2 linked regions of the Sus scrofa genome follow. The protein of the gene in region 1 purifies or fractionates together with the protein of each later gene. This does not show direct contact. Links are inferred from orthologs where the notes say so. Each region holds a gene or a part of one and is shown on either strand. Other genes may lie near its edges.

Region 1 (4,077 bases):
AGCAGGACATGGGCTGGGGGGGGTGGGTGCAGAGCCCCCTCCGCTGGCCCAGCCCCAGGGACCAGGCCTCAGGAGCTTGGTCACCTTTGATTCTGGGCTGGAAGCAGCCCCGCCCGCTCCCCAGGTGCTATGGAACAAGAACTTGCAGGAATTCCTGTGTACCTGCCCCTCTGAGGGCTGCTGACCATGGGAAGAGGGAGCTGAGGCTTGCAGCCTGGGGGGCCAGAGGTAACCATGGGGCCCAGGCAGCCTCTCCCTAAAGGGCAGCTAGAGAAGAGGTGTGAGGAGGACGGGGGTCTACGGGGACGTGGAGCTCCTGCACTCCGGGCCCCCCTGAGCCGCTGCTCCAGCTGACAGCTCCGGACACTGCAGCGGCTGCCACCTTCTGACCAATGGGGGGAGGAACCAGGGGAGGAGCCTGAGCCCCAGGGAGGAGGGGTGACCCTGGGCTGGGCAGTGAGACTCAGCTTCCAACTGCAGCAGGAGCCCAACTCCGAGGGAAAGGCAGCAGCTAGAGCCATCGGAGGCAGGGCCACAGCCCTAGTTGGGGAAGGCAGGGGACAGGAGTCACTTCCCTGCGGAGAGAGCACAGCAGCTGTCTGCTGTCCCCAGCCCCTAGGCCAGGCTGAGGCTTGTGGCCTGGCTCATACTCCAGTGGCATGTCCATGGATGTCCTGGCATTTATTTATTTATTTATTTATCTTTTTAGGGCCACATCCACAGCATATGGAGTTTCCCAGGCTAGGAGTGGAATTGGAGCTACAGCTGCCGGCTCACATCACAGCCACAGCAATGCCAGATCCGAGCCACATCTGTGACCTACACCACAGCTCATTGGCAACGCCAGATCCTTAATCCCCTGAGCGAAGCCAGGGATCGAACCCACAACCTCATGGATACCAGCCGGATTCGTTTTCTCTGCACCACGGCGGGAACTCCTGACCTGGCATTTTTAAGCAAGATGGGCTGGGCAGGGGCCAGAGACAAGCTGACTATCCCCCCACCCCTAACACAGCCAAAGGAAACTGAGATCCTTAGGGTCATGCCCAGCACCCAGCCATGGCCCCCTCCCCACCTCCACCCCCCCGACCCCACCCCCTGGCCTCTGGCTTCCTGGATCTCCACCCTCAGCCTCTCAAAGCGCTGGGAGGGAGGGGGCTCCAGCCAGCCAGGGCTCAGACCCCAAGAACCTGGGGACAGAGCCATGTGGGGAGGGCTCTGCCTGCTTCCTCCCGCCCCTGCGGTACCCTAGCTTCCTGTTCTTGATAACCATCAACAGATCGGCCGGAGCTGGTGGCCCTCTTTCCCACCCCTCCTGTTCCCCTCCGAGACACTAGCAGGCAGGGCCGGTGGGGGTGGGGGGGATCGTTGTGGGGAAGAACACGTTGCACAGGTTGATCAGGGGTCCCAGACCCCTGTCCCCTCCCGCAGCCCTGGGCCTCATCTCAGCCTGAGCCCTGGGCCAGCAGAAGGGAGCCCCCCCGCCCCCTGGGTGCCCACCCCCGGGCCTCTCGTACTTCAGTTCTCTTTTGCTGTCACCCTTTGACAGCTGAATCAGAGAAGTGGGCGGAGGGGGAGGACGGGATCGTTGGGGGCCGCGAGGGAGGGGCGCTCGGAGTGTTCAAGGTGACAGAGGGGCTCAGGGAGAAGGAGCCGGCAGGGCCGCTGGCCAGCAAGGGGCCATCGGCGGGGGACAGGCCAGAGCAGCGGGCTCTTGCTCTCGGGGGCTGCCCCTCAGGCCCAGACACCGGGCTCCCAAGCAGCCAAGAAGACATGGGTGTCCCTGGTGTGAGAGCCGGAGTCTGTCCCCTCTCTGTGAGTCTCTGAGAAGATGTTGGGGTGCTGGCAGGAGGCCTGGAAGGGCTGGGACCAGGGAGGCCCCCGGGGCCCGCCTACAAGGCTTCTCTACTACCTGCTTGCAGGCTTGCGGGCCTGGAGCCGACTAGGGACAGCTGGAGAGCTGGGGTGTGGCTCACAGCCTGGGGATGGCCTTTCGGGCCTGGTCTGAGCCTTCCCCTCGCGGAGCGAGGATTCCTGCCTCCCCGCCCCAAGTCTGCACCCACCCTGCCTGTGCCTGGCGTGAACCCCCACAGCGCGAAGGGGCAGAGGCTTCCAGGGTGAGGACTCCGAGCAGAAGCAAAGAAGTGGAAATCACTCTCCTGCCAAGGACGGCTGCAGCAGGAGCTCTGCGTGGGACGGCAGGGGGCAGGCGGCAGAGCCCTGCCGGGCAAGTGGGCAGGGGCTGGACGGACTGGGTCGGTGGAGCAACACCGCGGGAGGAACCTGGTGGTTAGCAGGGGCCCTGTGCCCCGTCTGATTCCACCGAGCAGGGCCTCGGGCCGGTAGCAGAGGTGCTGGGTCGGGCCAGCCGGTCCCCAGAGGGGCAGAGGCAGGAGGCAACCGACCCCTGGTGGTGGCAGCGTGCAGCTGGGTGTGCGTGGGTGGCAGCGAGGAGGGGCGGAGGGAGGAAGCGGGCTTCCTGAAGGCTTCTCAGCCCTCAAAGACAGACCGACAGACAGACAGACAGCTGGCAAGAGGCGCCTGGGGACACAGCTGCTTCAGTAAGTCCCTGAAGGGGAAGGAGTCCCCGGCCAGGGTGGGGGGACCTGCAAAGACAGGAAGGGAGGGTGTCTGCAAAGAGGACGTGCAGGAGGGGGCGGGGGGGTCATGGGCCCGGCCGGGGAGTGGGCGCTGACCCAGCCGATGTCCCTGAGGGGGCAGGCAGGGAGCCCAGGGGGCGCAAGGGCAGGCAGGGCCCTCTTGCTGCCGAGAGCCTCTGCCACCCTCATCCCAGGGCTGCTCGTGCCTCACCTCTGTCCCCATGGGCTCGCGACCCCAACACCCCCACCCCAACTTGGACCTGGTCTGGGCAGTGGGGACTGGATCCTAGAGGAGGGTGCCCCACCACCCCCGGGCCCCTCTGGTGCCCCCAGCTGTCGCCTCCCCATGTGCTGTGGCTCAGGGCTTGGTGAGGCCATTTCCTGTGACAGTTACAGAGGCGGGATGGGGGGGATGGGCAGGGAGGAAGGAAACACCCCCAGCCTGCCTCCTCGGACAGGGACCCCAGAGATCCAGTGACCCTGGGATGGCCAGCAGCTGGGCCCGCAGCCCCCCTGCCTGGGTCGCAGGGCTTCCAGGGTGGCCAGAGGCCTCCACCCTCTGATCCAGGAGAGACCCCAGGGGGTGTCTCTGAGCCCTTCCTCTACCCAGAGCCCGTGGCCTCCCCGTCCGGGCCCAGCTTAGGGCTCGGGCAGCCCGTCCACCCTGTGCTCCTGGATCCCCTCCTGTCTTCACCCACCATCTCCATCCCCCTCTCGTCCTTACTCTCACCCGGCCCAGCCCTGGGGGCCCCCACAGAGATCCTGGCCTTCCGATGGTGAAAACACAACCACTTCCTGGGGAGCAGAAGACAACTCAGTGAAAACAGAGGTGCCGGAGGGCAGAAGGCTGGCCTGGGCCTGGGAGCCTCCCCCCTGGCCGGTCAGTCAGCCCAGAGGTCAAACCTCATGGCCGAGTGAGTGTTCCCTGGGCCCAGCCTCCCCGCAGCATGATCCAGGCCCCTGGGGGCACCCCAAAGCATACTTGCGGGCCTCGCCTTCTGGGGCAGCCATGGCCCAGCCTCCACCTGACCAAGCGCCAGCCAAGAAGCACGTGAGGCTGCAGGAGAGGTGAGACTTTCGGTGGGGGGGTGCCTTCCCACCCCAGCCCCTCTGCTGCCCCTCCAGCTGGATCCTGTCACCCCAGGCTAGAAAGGAAACCAGATGTGCTCATTTGCATGTCACTTGCATGCCCTTTACCTGTGTGGGGCAACCTTGCACACAGGTCTACCCTGCATCTGGGCCCTGAGCCTGGATATGGGTCCAAACTTTAGGGGCCAGGCCAGGAACAGGGAGTGGGGGCAGCTGGAGGGAGCAGCTGGGCTCAGAGCTACCTGCTCTGGCTGCCCAGGGCTGGGGTGTCAGCTCGGAGTCAAGGGGAAGACTAAGGGCCGCCCCAGATCATGATTGTCACTGGACGCCGGCTCCTGTGCTTCAGGCGAGGCTCCAACGTTGCTCTGATGCTGGATGTGCGGTCCCT
Region 2 (2,323 bases), on another chromosome or scaffold:
CCTGGCCCAGGAACTCCTCATGCTGCTGGGCAGCCAAAAAAGAAAAGAAAGAAAAAATACAACATCCATCCATGCACGTGCACACATATATTTAAAAGAGGAAAGGGGGAGTTCTTGTCATGGCTCCGTGGTTAACGAATCCAACTAGGAACCATGAGGTTACGGGTTCAATCCCTGACCTTGCTCAGTGTGTTAAGGATCGGGCATTGCGATGAGCTGTGGTATAAGTCACAGATGCGGCTCAGATCCCGAGTTGCCATGGCTCTGGCGTAGGCCAGTGGCTACAGCTCCGATTCGACCCCTAGCCTGGGAATCTCTATGTGCTGTGGGTGCAGCCCTAGAAAAGACAAAAAAGACAAAAACAAACAAACATAAAAGAGGAAAGGGGAGTTCTCGTTGTGGCTCAGTGATAATGGACCCAACTAGTATCCACGAGGTTCAAGGTTCCATCCCTGGCCTTGCTCAGTGGGTTAAGGATCCAGTGTTGCCATGAGCTGTGGTGTAGGTTGTAGACCCAGCTCAGATCCCTCGTTGCTGTGGCTGTGGCCTAGGCTGGCAGCTACAGTTCCCATTCAACTCCTAGCCTGGGAACTTCCATGTGTTGCAGGTGTGTCCCTAAAAAGACCAAAAAAAAAAAAAAAAAATAAAAGAGGAAAGGAGTAACATCCCAGAATTGAAGGAGAATTCTTTGTTTTGGTGTAAAAGGTCAAAACTGTGTTTTGCTTAATAAAGCATACATTTTTGGCAGTGTGTTAAAAACTCTTTTTTCCTTCCAATCTGCATCACTGATAGCTGTTGACTTGCTGGAGAAGATGCTTGTTTTGGACTCAGATAAGAGAATTACAGCAGCCCAAGCCCTTGCGCATGCCTACTTTGCTCAGTACCATGATCCTGATGATGAACCAGTGGCTGATCCTTACGATCAGTCTTTTGAAAGCAGGGACCTCCTTATAGATGAATGGAAAAGTAAGTCTGAGCATGATGAACACGTAGCTTTAAAAATCTTTGCCAGGTGAACCACAAACCAAAAGCTGTCAGTGGGGGAGGGCAGGGGGGTGGGGGGTGGAGGTGCGGACTCCTGGTTAAATCCAACTTGTTAAACCTTGTCGTTAGGTCTCTAATGCAGAATGAGTATGTTCCTCTGATGGAAACTGTCTGTTGTAGATGATGACACTCTGGACCTTTGAGATGCTTCTGTCTGGTCTGATTTTGTGCACAGCCCCTCACGTCTGCATAGAACTTTGAGGTTCTCAGAATTTTTGCATTTATACCATCTTTCCCAGCTAAGTAGGGGATAGGGTGCATTTACAGTTTTATAATTGATAGAACTTGGGTGAAGAAAGTTAACATCTTAACTGTTACCTTAGACCTAATTAGGGACACAGCCAGAAATAGAACCCAGGTCTCCTGTGCTCAGTTTCATAGTCTCTCCATAAAACACACATTCAGAAAACTCCAGTGAAATTTCAAAAGCCAGGACTATCTGTTGCTACAGCAAATGGGATTACTACGTTATTCTCAAGCATCTTCAGAGAGTTTTAAAGAGGAGGCACTGGATGATTAAAGAAGCAATAAAGGATGCTTCTCTTGTATGTATCCTTGAACTTCTGTGGAATCACATGTTCCATCAGGATATCACACACAAACGGTGAGGCAGTTATTTGAAGTGGCCCATGGAACCACTAGTCTGGACAGGGAGGAAGGATCTTGAGCTTAGAAGTTAGGGTGCTTGCCAACAAAATGAATAGTCCGAACTTTCACGTCCTCCTTTTCCTTCCTGATTTCTAGGCCTGACCTACGATGAAGTCATCAGCTTTGTGCCGCCACCCCTCGACCAAGAAGAGATGGAGTCTTGAGAATCCGGTTTCTGTTCTGCTGATCCCACTTCACTGTGAGGGGAAGGCCTTTTCATGGGAACTCTCCGAATATCATTCAAGTGCCTCTTGTTGCAAAGATTTCCTCCGTGGTGGAAGGGGGGGTGTGTGCGTGCCCATGTGTGTGTGTGTGTCTGTCTGTCTGACTTTGTGGGAGGGTAAGAGATTATGAGCAAACTATGATCACAGTGACTTTACGTGGAGCGACCCCTGCTCCGTGGCAGTCTCTGCTTGTTCTTTGTGAAAGTCAGCTGGGCAGCAGGAGCTGCCATCTTGTTAGGGCTTCTTAAAAGCAAAGTAAAAAATGTTAAACATCCCAGCCCCCAGTCATGCTTTTGCCATTTTGGCCTCTCCTGCGGCCACCCTTGTTGGTAGGGGTTTGGCTTGACCACACCCCGCAGAGGCACAGAAGAAGGCTCGCACCGTCTGTTCGCTTCACATCTGAAGCC

Evidence for each region.
Region 2: the proteins of PTPN7 (region 1) and MAPK14 purify together in Homo sapiens (affinity purification with mass spectrometry; 3 studies listed by BioGRID and IntAct, with this or other methods). This does not show direct contact. The link is inferred for Sus scrofa from reciprocal best matches to the Homo sapiens genes PTPN7 and MAPK14.

Annotation. Positions count from the first base shown.
Region 1 is NC_010452.4:24,333,627-24,337,703, reverse strand, and holds the start of PTPN7 (tyrosine-protein phosphatase non-receptor type 7), read left to right. Parts: upstream 1-1,277; 5' UTR 1,278-2,561; intron 2,562-3,339; 5' UTR 3,340-3,609; coding exon 3,610-3,668; intron 3,669-4,035; coding exon 4,036-4,077. UniProt on the Homo sapiens protein: Protein phosphatase that acts preferentially on tyrosine-phosphorylated MAPK1. Plays a role in the regulation of T and B-lymphocyte development and signal transduction.
Region 2 is NC_010449.5:31,857,398-31,859,720, forward strand, and holds part of MAPK14 (mitogen-activated protein kinase 14), read left to right. Parts: intron 1-792; coding exon 793-966; intron 967-1,164; exon of another isoform or gene 1,165-1,246; intron 1,247-1,788; coding exon 1,789-1,856; 3' UTR 1,857-2,323. UniProt on the Homo sapiens protein: Serine/threonine kinase which acts as an essential component of the MAP kinase signal transduction pathway.